Linked DNA regions of Astyanax mexicanus. The protein of the gene in region 1 purifies or fractionates together with the protein of each later gene. This does not show direct contact. Links are inferred from orthologs where the notes say so. Each region holds a gene or a part of one and is shown in the gene's direction. Other genes may lie near its edges.

Region 1 (9,040 bases):
ATAACCCATGTGTCATGAAAGTACTGACCATTAAGTTCACAAGTTCACAGAATTGGAATATTATCAGAGTACAGTACATTGATCCTATCCAAACTATTAGAGTACTGCTTTAATATCAGATGTGAAATGTGCATGCTTCCCCTTTATCATGTGAGCATGGGTCATATGCTAGTAGATGAGAAGAAGAAAGTGAATGCTTAAATAATATTTCACAATACTTCTAGAAAGACAAATGCTTTATTCTACTATGCAGGCACATGCTTACTATAAAGGACAGCCACTATAATAAAAACACAGACAAATTAATTTTAATATACTATAGTTCAAATTGTTATTCCATATTAGACATTTTTGTTTTTCAATATTACAGTATATACAATGCTGATTTAAAGACTTTAAAATAGACAACATAATGTCCTATAGCTAGTGTATTTTTTAACAATAAATATACTGATACTGTAAAAAATACAGTATCATCCTAACCCTAACTTTATAACGTTAGTGTTAAATAATGCAATGTGGCTGTTTACAAGTAATTCTGGAGACTTTCCACAGTAATTTTTATTATTTTTTCACAAGGTGCAGGACATCTGATATCTGTAATTATCATGGACATTTTAAGAAAAAAACATATTCTGTTATCTGTTTATTGGGATTTTCTGGGGATAGGTTCCGTGCATCCAATACAGTGCCTAAAACATATTAATCATATTAATTTCTGTATTTTCTGTATAGTTTTATTGTGAAACACCCTACTAATTACATGTATCAACATCAAATAGTTTAATATAGCTATTATACACATTCATCTGGCACCACACTGGATTTATAGTATTTATAAACTTTAAAATGGCTTTGAGCTTGCACATACTGAATGCAGCATCATCTCTCTGTGTTGTTAGTAATGCACTTTTATTATAAGTAAGACCCAGTGCTATAATCTCATAACAACAATCTATTACACCAGCTTCCAGTTCCACTACAGTTCAAAACAAGTCATTAGACATGCTCTCTCTTACCTTGGAGCAGCTGTGACAGTAGCTCTCTCCATTCATCCCTGGAGAGAGGATGATCTCCCCTGTTGGGACCAACTGAATCTTCAGCTCCATCATGATGGCTGCTGTCTCCTTGTGTTCCCTTCTTCCTCACTGACAGTGTGCCTGATCCTTTCACACCACTGTCGTTCCTCAGCAGATGCTGGAGATGGTTGGAACAGAGTAAAAACACTTTGCTATGGCCAGTAAAGTAGAGAAGTAGTGAAAACTGAGCAAATATAAGCAGTGAAAGCTAATGAGAGACAGGGTGGAGTAAGTAGTGTTACCTGCGGCAGTAAGAGAGCTACTGCCAGCTTCCTCTGTTAAGCAAGAGAGAGATATGTGGGGATGTCCGGGCCTCTTCCCAAAGCCAGCCCCAGTATAATTGATGTTCCTTCTTTGCCGCTCCGCTCAGGACGGCGAGGGTTTGCCGCCAGGGTTTCCTCCAAACTCCAGCATCCTGTCCTCGACATTCTCTGAGTAAACACCAGAGGAAGCCACGCTGCTTCCCCTTCATATACAACATTAACTTAGTCCTTACACCATACACTACTTTAAGGAAAACCTTTTTACAATTTTCCCTAAAAACTCACATCCAACATTTGTATCTACTGTTTTATAGACAGATAAGGTTGGTGGCAGGATATGGCACCATTAGGCAACCACAAGCTTTCACATTTGATAGACAGGCTTTAAATATCTCCATCTCCGCTGACCCTCAACCTGACAGGCCTGTGACCGAGACATTCCTGTTCCTGTTCCTGAGCAGCGATTAGACTTGCTTTCTTAAGCTCTCACAGATAACACAATGTTAAAACAATATTTAATGTTAAATGGTTGTGAAAATTTTGAAATGTACTCATCCTTCTGCTCTTTGAATTAGCATTTGAAATTTCATCACCATACTGTTGAATCAGATTGGTAGTGGTGGGTAACATTCTTTATACTCAGCTTTACTACAGTGATGTAAGTTTATTGTTAACCCTTTGTTATCAATAGGATTTTCTAGTTTTAGCTACGTGTAGTAATTGCTTTTTGTTTGTAATTGTACAGTTCCTACTTCTCAGAGTTGTATATTTAGAGAGAGAATAAAAATAAAAAAATTACTTTTTTTATGATGGTATACAGTTTTTATTCCTGTTTTTTTTTTATACTTTAATACAATTTTGAGCATCCCGACTGTGAGATATGGTTTATTACAGGTTGAACATTGAAACAACTTCGCCATATACACGTTTAACTGATTCAACGTTAAAATGCCAGTTGGGTACAAATTAATACTTCTAGTTATTTAACAAGGTACACACATGATAGGCTCCAGCCCCCCCATTTTATTTCAAGCCATATTTCAGACAAAACATATATTAAAGACTGAAGGGCTATAATGAGTTTGTGTGGGGGTGGGGGTGTGTGTGGTACCTATTCTTGTCAGTGATGGGTGTTCCATTAAAATATAGCACTGTTAAAAGAGGAAATGACACACGCACACATCCTATGACCTGTGACACGGCTGAGACATTCATGATTTCTGGGTATCAACAGGAAACAGCAGTTTTGACGTCCCACCGTGATGAAGTGAGCCTTGGCAGAAGCATAGCTAATGTCACTATGTGGTTTATTAAGTAAGAAAATTAGTAGTTGGCATCTCATATTCACGGTAAACCTGGGTCAACTGCATTCTTAGCTTGGTCTGAGGGATCATGCTTGTTTAAGTTGTTGTGTACTGTATATGCAGTCATGTCCTAAAGTGTTGGCACATGTGAAATTTCTCCAAATTAAAAGGATTCTACACATGTTTATTTATTTGTGTGTATTGGAACAACACAAAAAGTAGAGAAACAATGGAAAATCTTACATTATTTCACACATAACTCATCATTAAATTTGAAAATTGCCATACCAGTATAGGGAGCAGTTTCAGAATGCTTCAAAAAGCATCCAGTGTGATAAGATGGATGGAATCAAAGTGCTGGAGAGTTTTGAACTGGACAGCAATGAGTCCGGACCTAAATCCTGTTGAATACCTGTGGAGAGATCTTAAAATTCCAGTTGAGAGGTGTAAGAAGCTTGTTAATGGTTATAGTAAGTATAAAAATATGACTTTTGGAGAACATGCTTAGGTTTTAAGTTGAACATTAGCTGACAAGATTCTGAGGTTCAGTAACGCTACTCTAAAATGCACTTTGTATTTATAGGAGCAAAAGTGGCTTTAGCCTAGCACAGTTGGATTAGCTTCCTCTTATGCTAAATATGAATTTGCAGTATCTTCTGCTGATACTGTCCCATGAAAAGCCACAGTCACAATGGCCTAGTTCAGGTAGCAACCAGTTTTCTGTTAACTAAAGTCTGGTGGTGGTGATGTGCATGCTTGTCTTAGAAAACTAAATAAAGTATTAATAAACATCATACTCTCCCAGCGTGGCCAATATGTTTTACTGCATTGTAGCTTTGCTTGTGGGCTGGATGTTGGATTGGGCTAATTGGTTAGATTATGCCAGATTTCTTTTTACATAAAAAGACATCAGTATTTGACAGTGTCATTTCTATGTACCAAACTCAGCTATGCCAAGGTCAACACAGTTTTCCATTCAAGGACACTTTAAATAAAGTTTTCAAACTACATCAAACTCTTTTGTCTTAAACCAAAAAGGAAAAGGCTGTTTATCATGATGTGGGTCCTTTAACAGTGATTGCCAAGAGACATAAATGCTCATTAATAAACAGGGAAGTTGAAATGCCATCTGCTGTGTGTGACAAGTTACCCATCAAACAGAGACATCTTTGCAGGAGGAAGCACAGTGAGTGTGCTTCCTGTCCTCTCCCTTCCATCTCTTTTTTCCATCTCTGAAATGCCCACCCCAAGTATACACTTTTATAGCTCAGAGGAGCTGGTAAATCCACTCCCCTGCAAGGACACACAATTTGGGTGTTGAAATAAATGGTCCATATTAAAATTTAGACTACAGAGTTAAAAGCAGCAGGAACTTTCAGAACATACCCCTTATAAGGCTGTAGAGGGTGGCCTGAGATGGGGATGTAGAGGAATGGCATCCTGTTTGGGAGAGCTGCCAGCTGGAGGGAAATTGAGAAGAGAAGTTATGTCAGGAGATGACAGGTGAAGGGCACTACACAGCTACTAAACACTGTGGCACAGCAGCGACTATAATGAGCTGAGTGACAGAATAATTTTGAAACAGTATTGTCTATTTTTAAATTAAAGGGTCAGAATACACAATATTTCACTGTCACTCTGTTCCCACAACATTACAGTGTGTCCTACTCAGCTTCCTTTGTTGGCTTTAGTATTCTGCCCACAGGAAAAATGAGCAGTAGCCTCTACTGGGAGTGATGATGAGTGTTTGATTTGTTGCCTGGTGCAGTGCCATATCTTCCATGATGGAAACTGTGCTTAGTAACTTCATGAGCAAAACTAAGACCCATGAGGTAAGGCTGGAAAGCAATGTTATTTTTTATATAGAGGGCCCACATATTATATTGTGTATGTAATATAGTTACACAATTGCATTATGACATTGTGTAGACTCTATTTTAACCAAGACATAATAAAACTACATAAAAACAATATTCATTATCAGTAGCAAATGTTTTCATATATTTACCTTATTATATATTTAACTGGATATTTACTCACATAAAGAACAATGTATGGTCGTACAGCTTTAATATTGTAAATGTAAACTTATTTTTTTATTATTCTGTTCATTACAGGTACCTATGCCCACGAGTTGCTTTTACCGATAACGCCATCTGCTGGGGACTCTTCACATATAAATGTCTTGACGTGACAAATGTAAATTCGTAAACATATAAATTATATATAGAATTAAAATGAGGAAATACATAGCTTAAAGAAAATATTAGATTTTTTTGTTTAGTAACAACAACAACAACAACAACAACAACAACAACAACAATAATAATAATAATAATAATAATAATAATAATAATAATAATAATAGTAATAATAATAACAATAATTATTGTTATTATTATTATTATTATTATTATTATTATTAATGTTAATATTAATATTAATATAAATATTATATATTTTTTGCCTTAACTTTTTATATATTTTTTTCAAATTTATTTCTTAAATGTGCAAAACATAAACATAAAAAATAAGACATTGTTAGTTTTCGCGCTATATTTTCTTTAAGCAAAATAGTTCTTCATTTTTATTGTTTTTAATATATTTGAACATTAAATTAAATGTAAAATAAAACAACTGCGTTTACAAACTTTTAACGGGCTCCAAACGGAAACTGTATTATTTCCTCATCCGGGGCTTTGGATACGCATGTTTTAGTGGTCCTGCGTAAAGGGTTACTCCTTCTTTGCGATTCAGAGTAGGAAACTTCGCACTTCGCGGTGGTGAATTGTGTGTTGTTACGCACAACGTGTGGAATCGTTTCTCGGAGCGCCATTCTGCAGGAAACTCCGGAGAAACTCTGGGTTTAAACACAGTAAGATGTTTTTAATGCTGTATTAAACTGAGGCGTTCTCTGGGTATAGTTTTATAGATTCATATTTGCTAAATGTTTGTTTATGGGCATGCTCTGTAACCTGTGAGAGAGTTATAGCTAAACCCGTTAGCCTCGGCTCGTGCTTTGTTACGTAGTTAGCTGAAGCTAGCTATCGTGCTAAGGTAACGCTAGCTTGGTTTAATCCAAATACTATTGCGACTCGTATTAAACACAGTTCGGCTCTGGTTTATTTTTATTTTGTGTTGTGTGAGAATGCGCCTGTTGGTTACAGTTTATAGCTAAACAAATAATTTGCGGCTCGTTAGCCACTTTGTTAGTAGCCAGAGCGTAGCTGTAGTGTGGATAATGCTTTAGCGTAAGCGGGTAAATTAGTTGGCATGGCTAGCTGTTAGCTAACGCCGGCTAGGTTAAAATTGTTAGAATCCAAACAACAATAATTAGAGTTTTGCTTTCTAGTTAAACTTTTCTTCTTTCCGACGGTCACTGAAGGTATCTATTTATTTTTATATTGAATATGAGGCAATGCTAGTTAGCTTAGTTAGCTAAATATTTGTGTTTGTAATAGTTATCCAGCTAGCTAGATAATTAGTGTTACCTTAGGTTAATGTGTCCAATGTGTGTGTTAAAAGCAACAATGCAATTAAAAATGCTTTAAAAATGTTTTCAGTCTAAACTGAATTAAACTTTTTGTGTAAGTTACTTAAATGTATCCATTTGTGATTAAGACAATACAATACAATATATGTGGTGAAAAAATATTTTATTTTACTTTAACCAGTATTTAAAGACTAGGATTTTATTTAAATAGCTTAACTTGGAAGTTTTTGCAGTCCTTAAATATTGTGGTTTTCTGTTCCGAAGGTGGAGAGCAACTCCTTTCTTAGTATTGTAGAAGCTTATATAGCAAAATGCTTTTTAAGGATCTAGCTATGCTATATTGCGGTTTTATAAAAATACAAGACTCACCAGACGTCAGTGGTCCAAATTTTCATATAAAAACGTATAGTGCTCTTATTATTAATTATTATTATTGTTATTATTATTATTATTTTTTTGATGAAAATTAGAACATTATGCTTTATTATTTTTGATCCTATTCCAGGTATTCTGATGCAGCATGCAAAAAAGTTAATTTTATTATTATTATTGCAAAGCAGTGATTTAAGGGATTGTGTAATGTGGCATGTTTTATCTGATCCACAGCTCTGTGAAAGTGTGTTAAAACTGCCAGCTTTGTTCTTTCTGTTTTACATATTCATTTGTTTTGCCATTATGCCATCTTAGACCTAACTGTTCTGCATTGCTGTCTTCCAACAGTAGACGCTGCCATGGCAGCTACATTCCCCTACAGAGGTGTCCCTGGTGTTCCTCCTCCTGCCCCGGTGCCAGACTACATGTCTGAGGAGAAGCTTCAAGAAAAAGGTTTGAATGCACGAAAGCAATGAATTGTTTATTGAACGTGTGCACTATAAATCCTTGTGTTATCAGAATTCTGATACACTTTTGTCTGTTTTAATTCCAGCCCGGAAATGGCAGCAGCTGCAGGCAAAACGCTACTCGGAGAAGAGGAAATTTGGTTTTGTCGATGCTCAGAAAGAGGACATGCCACCAGAGCATGTGCGGAAAATCATTCGGGACCATGGAGATATGACCAACAGGAAATTTCGTCACGACAAACGAGTCTATCTTGGGTAAATATAGAGATTTGTGCACACTTTTTAAAATAATTGTTTAACTGCAAACTTTGTGAAAAAATTGTAACAACTGTTTTTGTAACAGATGATGTGTCTGTTTTTGTCTCTAGGGCTCTGAAGTACATGCCTCATGCAGTACTGAAACTGCTGGAGAATATGCCCATGCCCTGGGAGCAGATCAGAGATGTGCCAGTGCTGTACCACATCACAGGAGCCATTTCCTTTGTAAATGAAATTCCTTGGGTCATTGAACCAGTTTACATTGCACAATGGGGGTAAGTTACCATTGTTCCAATCAAGCTTTGTTTTTTATCAAATGTATAGATTTATTAAACTTTTGAGATTAATCACTTCTTTTTCTGTTTGACGCTAGTACCATGTGGATCATGATGCGTCGTGAGAAAAGAGACAGAAGGCACTTCAAGCGTATGCGCTTTCCTCCCTTTGATGATGAGGAGCCCCCACTGGACTATGCTGATAACATTCTGGATGTGGAGCCCCTGGAAGCCATTCAGATGGAAATGGACCCTGAGGAAGATTGCTCAGTTGTAGAATGGTTTTACGAACACCAGCCACTGAAGGATGCTACCAAGTGAGTCTTTGTCACAATCAACAAAAAAATAAATTTTAGTTTTTTACCACCTTATCTCATTATGTCTCTTTGTCTTTTAGATATGTCAATGGGACGACATACAGACGTTGGCAGTTCACCTTGCCAATGATGTCCACTCTTTATCGGTTAGCCAACCAGCTGCTAACTGATTTAGTGGATAGGAACTACTTCTATTTGTTTGACCTGAAGGCCTTCTTCACTTCAAAGGCCTTAAACATGGCCATTCCTGGAGGGCCCAAATTTGAACCCCTGGTCAGAGACATCAATCTACAGTATGTATACCTGCATTCTTTTTAAGTACACTGTACTAGATTGAATCGTCTCTCCTTTAAGGTCTTTTGAAATTTATGCATGATTTAAGTTTGCCAACTTCTGTTACAGGGATGAAGACTGGAATGAGTTTAACGACATCAACAAGATCATCATCAGACAGCCGATTAGAACAGAGTACAAGATTGCTTTCCCATACTTGTACAATAATCTTCCACATCACGTCCATCTCACTTGGTAAAAAGACCTTTCTTTTTAATGTTTCTTGTGTTTGTGATTTAAAATATAAGTTGATTATAATACATAATTACGATACTGTTTACCCAGGTACCACACTCCTAATGTGGTGTTCATCAAGACAGAGGATCCTGATTTGCCTGCTTTCTACTTTGATCCTCTCATCAATCCCATCTCTCACAGACATTCTGTAAAAGTAAGGACGGTAGTAGTTAGGATTGCTTGGTCTGCATTTATCAGACAAAAGAACAAACTAGTAAAATCTGACTGATGGGTTGTTATGGGTCTTGTGAGTTGATTATTGAATGATTACAATAAAACATATATTATGCTTTCCTCAGAGCCAAGAGCCACTGCCAGACGATGACGAGGAATTTGAGCTTCCTGAGTATGTGGAGCCTTTCCTCAAAGAGACGCCTCTTTATACTGACAACACAGCCAATGGGATTGCCCTTCTCTGGGCCCCACGTCCGTTCAACCTGCGCTCCGGAAGGTCCAGGCGTGCCATCGATGTTCCCCTGATCAAGAATTGGTGAGCTCTGAATTATAATACTTGTAGCTTGCTTAGTCTTTTCAATGACATAAGTGTTGGACACTTAGGTCTTTTTTTGATTGTAGTATCATTTTTAATTCATTAATTCAGGTACAGGGAACACTGCCCTGCTGGACAGCCTGTGAAAGTAC
Region 2 (8,230 bases), on another chromosome or scaffold:
TGCATGGGTTGTTTTTGGGAAGTGCTTGTGCTAAACATAAAGCTATCTGGTATTTACATGCATAAGAAGTCAAATTGGGGTCTTCAAAGTTGACAAGAAAATAAATCACGAAAAAAAAGTCACAAAAATAATCTGATTTTGCAAACAAAATATTTCACTTGCAATTTTTAGTTTAGGATGAATCTTTTGCAATACCACTTTTTCTTTTTGTTTTGCAATTTGCGTTCCTTTTTGTCTTTTTGCAGTACTTTCCCTCTTTTGCGTTCCTCCATTTTGTTTGTGAGTCTATTTTGACCCCTTTTTGACGTGGGGGTGTGCGGAGAGGAGAGGGGCGTGGTCAGGATGGAAAGGCGGGTTATGGAGGATTCACGTCAGCAGCTGCAGAGATCGGCAGGGGACTTATTTCGGCGCAACACCAGCAAACATATTACACACAGCTGATCCAACTAATGAACAAACTGCCCTCACCAAGAGCTGAGAGTGTTACAGCAGAAACACACTTACCCTGCAGAACAGAGTAACTCCAGAACCAGATTTAAATACTGTAGCACTTTTTACCATTTACCGCCTTATTATGCTGTGAAATAAATTAGAGATGTTTGGTGTTTCTGGCTCGTTGTTTTAGTACACATTTAGACGACATTAAGATTTGTCCTTAAAAAACTAATTAAGTCTTTTTACATTACGTGTTTTAGACTCTATGGTTCTTCAGTTAGCTGGGTTAACTTTGTGGTTCTGGAGTAACACTGTCCTTCTAGTTTTTCTGCTGTATCACACAACTCACCTCAGTGAGGGCAAATAGTTGACTAGTTAGTTGTTAGTTGATTATTTGAATCAGGTGTTGTAATTAGTATAAACTAATGGCTATAATTAAATACTAAACCTGCAGAGAAGCGCTGCTCCTAAACTGAGAACAACGTTCTCTTATTATCTGCCTTTTAAAGCTCTAACACAGACTACACTGCTCCACAGCACCAGACTGAAAGAGTTTTCACCTGTTTAAATACTTTAATGATCCTCTGTGAAGAAGAACAATAATCTAAAACGCGATCCTGCCATTCCCTGCCACTGTGCTGTGAGGTTAGTTAAGCACAGTTAAATCTCGAAATTCAGAGGATCCAGTGATGTTCAGGAGGTAAATGTACACAGAATAAAACGTACAGGGTTCTGAACATATTTATTTACCACAGAATGTGATATAGAGACCAGTTTTAGAAAAGCCTTTTAATTTTTTTACCATAGGTCTGAACCTATTAGACACGGAACCCCAAATATGGGCATAAACAATATGGCGCCGACTACAAAATTACTACACGACTTCATTGGTCTATATAACTCAGATAGAATAGAAATATCAAACAGAACAAACAAAAAAGAAAAAAAATATGTGTTGTTCTTCATGATTTTAACAGCCATATATAACGCTCTGGCAATTAGGCTCACTGTGCGATTCGACAGTTTCTTATACTATAAAAGGCTCATTAAATCGATTTAATCATTTGTACGATTTCCAATGTCATTATGCAAAATATCAAAAGTAATATTTGCTCTTTAGTGTGAAGTACTGTATCTTACATCTGACATTTAGGTTTTTATTCTTATTATTATTACTATTTTAATCATTAATATTGTATGGCTTTATATGGACAACTTTATATGGACACACTGCACATGTGTATCTAGCTGTATCTCACAGTCTCTCTCTTTTTATTGCATAATATCACATTCTGGTATGAGTAATTTTTCTTTCTATTTTTCAGACGTGTGTACTTGTGTGTATCTGTATATACGTTCCTGGAACAGTCTAATTCCCCCAGGGAGATTAATAAATTATGTTTTATGTTACGTTCCGTTTTGTTATCTTAATGTATCTACGTTATATTAAAGTCTAAATTAAACTTACTGTGTTTTTTTTCCCTTTTTATTCAGAGCCTCTGCACAGCGTTGTGTTTTATTGGGGCTTTTCATTGTTAAAATCCGCCATCTACAGGCGGCCGCGTGTAACTCACAGTGAGTGAAAAAGAAGCCAAATTCAGTCTTGTTCTCAATTTAACAACTAAAAATAACAATATTATATAATTCAATAATTATGTGTATGTAAAATTATTAGCATTCACTTACGAACTGTAAATAGTTGTTGTTCAGGCTGGTTAGCTTGGTCGGGGCGGCTGGTTGAGCTGGCCGGTTTTCTATCGAGTTGTGCTACCCTGTCAAACCATGCTACCGTAGTGTATATTTAAACGTAAAAATGCTAAAAGAAAAAAAAGTCCCATATTTAAAAATGGTTTCACCATATCAGGATACCTATGGAAGCCCATTTCCGCCACCTGAAGAAAAAAAAAAACGTCCTCAACTAAGTCATAATTATGAGATAGAAAAGTCTTAATTATGGGATAGTAAGTCATAGTTATGAGATAGTAAGTCATAATTATGAGATAGTAAGTCATAATTATGAGATAGTAAGTCATAATTATGAGATAGTAAGTCATAATTATGAGATACTACGTCATAATTATGAGATAGTAAGTCATAATTATGAGATAAAAAAGTCATAATTATGAGATAGTAAGTCATAATTATGAGATAGAAAAGTCATAATTATGGGATAGTAAGTCATAATTATGAGATAGTAAGTCATAATTATGAGATACTAAGTCATAATTATGAGATAGTAAGTCATAATTATGAGATAAAAAAGTCATAATTATGAGATAGTAAGTCATATTTATGAGATAAAAAGTCATAATTATGAGATACTAAGTCATAATTATGAGATAGTAAGTCATAATTATGAGATAAAAAAGTCATAATTATGAGATAGTAAGTCATATTTATGAGATAAAAAGTCATCTCATAATTATGACTTTCTATCTCATAATTATGACTTTCTATCTCATAATTATGACATAGTATCTCATAATTATGACTTACTATCTCATAATTATGACTTACTATCCCATAATTATGACTTTTCTATCTCATAATTATGACTTACTATCCCATAATTATGACTTTTCTATCTCATAATTATGACTTAGTTGAGGACGTTTTTTTTCTTCAGGTGGCGGAAATGGGCTTCCATAGGGATACAGTTTGGAGTTAATAGGAATGATTATAAACCGTATTTATTTTTTCGTTGCTCATGTATTACTTTTATTATTATTAATTCACACATTTGTAACACAAATAATGTCAGGGAACTCCGATTGTTTAATGCACCCAAGAAGAACAGAAATGCTATAAAATAAATGGATAAAATTCATTAATAATTTGTTTTTTAAATGTGCGCATGGTGCGCACTGGCGATGAGAAGCACATTTCGATGAGTAGCACAACTCGGACAGAACACCTGTCTGACGTGATCTTCCACAACCCGTGTTTCCATCTTGGCCACGCCCCTCTCCTCTCCCCACACCCCCACACCAAAAAGGAACTCGCAAATAAAGGTGCTTGCACACTGAACGCGGTATGCCGCGCGGCATTCCGCTGTGCTGCCGCTCTGCTCTACGCTGGTCAGTTGCGGGTGCGTTGCGCTGCTGCTGACGCCAAGCGTCTCCTGCTGATAATAGGCGGAGTTTTCTAAAACCCATCACCTCTGTGAGCGGTGTTTTGTAGTTTTGAGTCTCTACAGCCTCTGTGCATCTGTATATGTTTCTCAGCCTCAGAACAAAGCTCTGATTCTTCTCTTCCTCCTGTTATCTCTATATGAGTGTAGGGAAGTGATGTACAGCTGAGGGGATTCACTAATCGCTATTATTAGTCTCTCGCGCACGTTTATTGTTGTTTGGACTACAGTTTCTCTCTAGTCGCGTGAGTTCACGTCATGCGTTTTCTGCCGAGGTACCGCTTGCCGCGAGGTCAAAGTTGAACCATGTTGAACTTTGCCCGCGGTAAGCGGTAGCGCGGTGGAGGCGTGGTTATGGGCGGGGAAACGCGCCGCTTTCCGCTCTGCTCCGCGGCAGCGACGCACCGCTCTACCGCTCTAGACACTATTGAATCCTATGGGGGTCAGCGTACCGCGCCGCACCTACCGCGTGCAGTGTGCAAGCACCTTTAAACGGAGGAACGCAAAAGCAGGGAAGTACTGCAAAAAGAAAACACAGAAAAAGTGGTGTTGCAATATCAGATTTTTTTGCAACTTGTGAAGATTTTTTTCATGATAATTTAATTTTCTCGTCATGCGGGGCACCTGAATATGTTGACAGGGAAAGAAATAACGCATTAAAAAAGAAAGAACAAAACAAAGAGAAATGTGATTGTAAAGAAGGAAATAAAGAAAGAGAGAGAGAGTGAAAGAAAGAGAAAACTTTACAGAAGAAAGAAAGAGAGAGAGAGAGTGAAAGAGACAGAAAACTTTACAGAAGAAACTTTACAGAAGAAAAAAGAGAGAGAGAGAGAGAGTGAAAGAGAAAAATTAAAGCACATTGAGGGTAAATGTGTTCAGTAGCGCCTCCAGGCCGCGCGGGGCAGCAGTGCGGGAGTGTCCGCTCTGCAGCTACTTCCTGACGGCAGCGCGTGCGTTGTGTGTCCGCAGTGCTGCTGGCGGTAAATGAGCAGAGATTCCGGGCCGGGTGTTTGTTTGGTGTTTATTTGAGTTTATTCTGAATTAAACCGGTTTATTTTACTCATCTCTCCGCTTCAGTTCGGCAGCAGCATGGTGAAGCTCTCGGCTGAGCTGATAGAACAGGCGGCTCAGTACACCAACCCCGTCCGGGACCGAGAACTGGACCTGAGAGGTGAGAGACTACAATAACATATATACAGACTTTATACAGTTTAATTACTTTATCTAGCGTACAGAGCTGATAATACTAGTCTTCTTCAGGCAGACTGGTGGCTGTAGATGATCTGTAGTAGGGGGGGGGGGGGATATCACAGTGCTCTATGTGTTTAAGACAAGACAGGTTGGGGTGGTGGCTTTGTGCAGATCTGCATCAGGATACTCTGTTCTGCTGTAGCTCTTTATTATCTCTGGGTGAAGGTTAAGGTCTTTTTAATATAAAATGTTTTTTAGTATATATACATACAGCTCTGGAAAAAATAAGAGACCAATTCATTTTCTGAATCAGTTTCTCTGATTTAGCTATTTTTAGGTATATGTTTGAGAAAAATGAACATTGTTGTTTTATTCTATAAACTACGGACAACATTTCACCCAAATTCCAAATAAAAATATTGTCATTTAAAGCATTTATTTGCAGATAATGAGAAATGGCTGAAATAACAATAAAGATGCAGAGCTTTCAGACCTCAAATAATGCAAAGAAAACAAGTTCATTTTCAGAAATCAATATTTGGTGGAATAACCCTGGTTTTTAATTACAGTTTTTATGCATCTTGTCATGTTCTCCTCAACCAGTCTTACACACTGCTTTTGCATAATTGTATGCCTTTATTCCTGGTGAAGAATTCAAGCAGTTCAGTTTGGTTTGATGGTTTGTGATCATCCATCTTCCTCTTGATTATATTCCAGAGGTTTCCATTATTTCATTTGGTTAAATAAAAAAAAAAAAACTCAATTTTTAAATTGTCTAATTTTTTTCCAGAGCTGTACAAGGTGTAAAATGACCACACTTTGAAGAAAGTGTATCAGTATTATTCTCTGCTTGAGACCTGTTTCCCTAAAAAATCAGTGTTTCTCAGCCCGGGTCCTGTAGCACCTCCTACCTCAATAATTACACAGTTTAATGGATTCATAGTTAGCTGATTTGATGTGACTTGTTTGCTGTATTGACATTTACATAGCAGGGGAGTCACTGCCTTAAAGACTCTCAGGTGAAATTTGTTTATTTATTAAATAAATGTATAATGTATGAATAGGGGTGGGCAATGTGGCCCTAAAATAATATAGGTAAATTATTATTATTTTTGCAAAAAAAAAATAAAAATAAAATTAAATTTTGTTATTACACACGATATGATATGGCATACCCCTAACTGAGGTATTGTCAGATTTGTAACAGCAGTCAATGATCTGGAATATCTTCATATATTCATGATTAAAGTAAAATAAATAATGCTGGACAGGAATAATCTATTCCTATAATTCCAATAATACGCAATATTATTGTGTATGATCTAATATGTCGCACTTCTTATTGTAAATGACCTTTTTAAAAAGTTCTTTTTAAACGTTTTAAAAGAATCTCCACAGAATCTTTTTTTTTTTTTGCATATGTATACAGTACCAGTGAAAAGTTTGGGCAAATCTTCTCATTTGATGTTTTTCTGTACACTGTGGTCCAAATTATTAAACAAGTGATATTTTTCTTAGATTTTCCTAAAGGATCAATGCGAATGACAGTCGTGATAATTTCTAAGTCATGACCCGTTAAGTGTAGCTTCTTTCTTTCTTTTTTTTTTCATTTTTTTTTTTAAACAAACCTTCCAATGGTAACAGTAATTATTTTTAAAATAAAAAGTTTTTTTTTCTTAGTAACATAGTCGCTGTGAAGTGTGGAGAATAGTTTTGCGATATATATTAATTATCGCTGAATTGCAGTTTTGAGATCACCGTTTTCATTAATTTACCACAGCTGAAAAGTGCTGGAAAAACTTGAAAATGGGACTTGAAAGTGCTGGAATTTTACCTTGTAAAAGGTGTATGAACCCAGAAGGATCTCTCTGCTGCTGAAAGGTGTGAAATAGTGCAATGCTTTGGACAAGGTGTAAAAACATTATAAACACAATATTTCACAAAAACTTCAGCGTGATAATCATACTGTGCAGAGATTTGTGGCTGATTCAGAGCACAGACAGGTTTGTGCAGATAAAGGCAAAATGAGGAAGGTTTCTGACAGACAGATTCATCGGATTAAGAGAGCAGATGCTAAAATGTCATCACAAACAAGAAAACAGATATTTGAATCTGCTGGTGCCTCTGGAGTCTCACAAACCTCAAGTTGTAGGATCTTCCAGAGGCTTACAACAGAGCTCACAAGCAAAAACGGCCCAGACGTACATGAAGACTACTTCTTTGATTGGATTTATGCTGAGGGGTTCGTGATTTGAAATTGAATGACTGTCATTTACATTGACCATTTAGGAAAATCTGAGTAAAATATCAATAGCATAATAAAGACATGAAAACAATTAAAGCGCAAACATGGAGTAAATAAATAATAAAAAAAAAATTGGCCTCCACAATCCCTATGACCTTATCCCAGCTGAGATAGGTGTCCACATTTACGGCCCATCTGATTTTTTTATTGTCATGGAACCTCAAAACAGTATAAAGTAAAGCTTTAGTTAAAGCTTTATTTCTTTAGTCTTAGCTCGGCTGTAAAATTCAGGCCAGGTTCTGCCGTGGTTTCCTCAGTTCATCATGTGTCTTTGTGTCTCAGGTTACAAAATCCCAGTGCTGGAGAATCTCGGTGCCACTCTGGACCAGTTTGACACCATTGACTTCTCTGATAATGAGATCAGAAAGCTTGATGGGTTTCCACTGCTCAAGAGGCTGAAGACCGTGCTGATGAACAACAACCGCATCTGGTGAGAGAAGAGAGACTTTCAGCGGCTCCTGTTTATCAGTGAGAAGTGGGTCAGAAGAAGTGTGGGTAGTTTTTAAATTAGCAATAGTTACAAGCTGCACTCACTTAAAAGATTTAAATTATGTTTTGAGAGTGTGTATCTGTTTGCTTAACTAGTCATTTAATCATAATAATGAAAAAGAAGAATGTTCCTCTTAATATTTTAGTATTTTTCTTTAATTATATAGTCTGTTAGGACAGGGATTCTCTTAGTTGGTCTTAGCCTGGGACCCACATTTTCTCATGGTCATTAAGTTGCGACCCACTTTTATAGAGTAGACTACAAACTAAACAAATATTTTTGAAAAATAGCCTTCAAAAACTCATTTTAACATGCATAATCATGCAAAGTGAATTTAAGAGTAATTAATTCACATGACAATAAAACATCAAAACAAAACAATCACTTCTCTGCATTCTTACATTAGTAATAAACTTGCTCTGTCTCCTTTTTCCCAATGTAGTACAATAGTACAAAATCAGATGAGCATTGATTTATATATATATATATACACACACAAACACACACACACACACTTTTTTTTCCCCTTATGTATTTAATAAAAAAAAAATTGCAAGCTGTCCGTGACTCACTTTTGAGTGCCGACCCATCAGTTGAGAATTGCTGTATTAGGACATTATTACAATACTTGTAAAGCTCTGTGGGAAAATTCTACCTGATTAATTAATCTAAAGAGAAT

What was found. Proteins that work in one complex are often made in the same cells at the same time.
Region 2: the proteins of prpf8 (region 1) and snrpa1 fractionate together in Homo sapiens (co-fractionation; 3 studies listed by BioGRID, with this or other methods). This does not show direct contact. The link is inferred for Astyanax mexicanus from reciprocal best matches to the Homo sapiens genes PRPF8 and SNRPA1.

What each region holds. Positions count from the first base shown.
Region 1 is NC_064425.1:24,552,136-24,561,175, forward strand, and holds the start of prpf8 (pre-mRNA-processing-splicing factor 8), read left to right. Parts: upstream 1-5,411; 5' UTR 5,412-5,521; intron 5,522-6,859; 5' UTR 6,860-6,870; coding exon 6,871-6,964; intron 6,965-7,064; coding exon 7,065-7,233; intron 7,234-7,346; coding exon 7,347-7,511; intron 7,512-7,609; coding exon 7,610-7,828; intron 7,829-7,908; coding exon 7,909-8,121; intron 8,122-8,230; coding exon 8,231-8,356; intron 8,357-8,446; coding exon 8,447-8,552; intron 8,553-8,697; coding exon 8,698-8,888; intron 8,889-8,999; coding exon 9,000-9,040. Other genes in the region: myo1cb (myosin Ic, paralog b), read right to left, coding at 1,020-1,112. UniProt on the Homo sapiens protein: Plays a role in pre-mRNA splicing as core component of precatalytic, catalytic and postcatalytic spliceosomal complexes, both of the predominant U2-type spliceosome and the minor U12-type spliceosome.
Region 2 is NC_064423.1:9,652,538-9,660,767, forward strand, and holds the start of snrpa1 (U2 small nuclear ribonucleoprotein A'), read left to right. Parts: upstream 1-4,453; 5' UTR 4,454-4,545; exon of another isoform or gene 4,546-4,642; 5' UTR 4,643-4,654; coding exon 4,655-4,736; intron 4,737-7,343; coding exon 7,344-7,491; intron 7,492-8,230. UniProt on the Homo sapiens protein: Involved in pre-mRNA splicing as component of the spliceosome. Associated with sn-RNP U2, where it contributes to the binding of stem loop IV of U2 snRNA.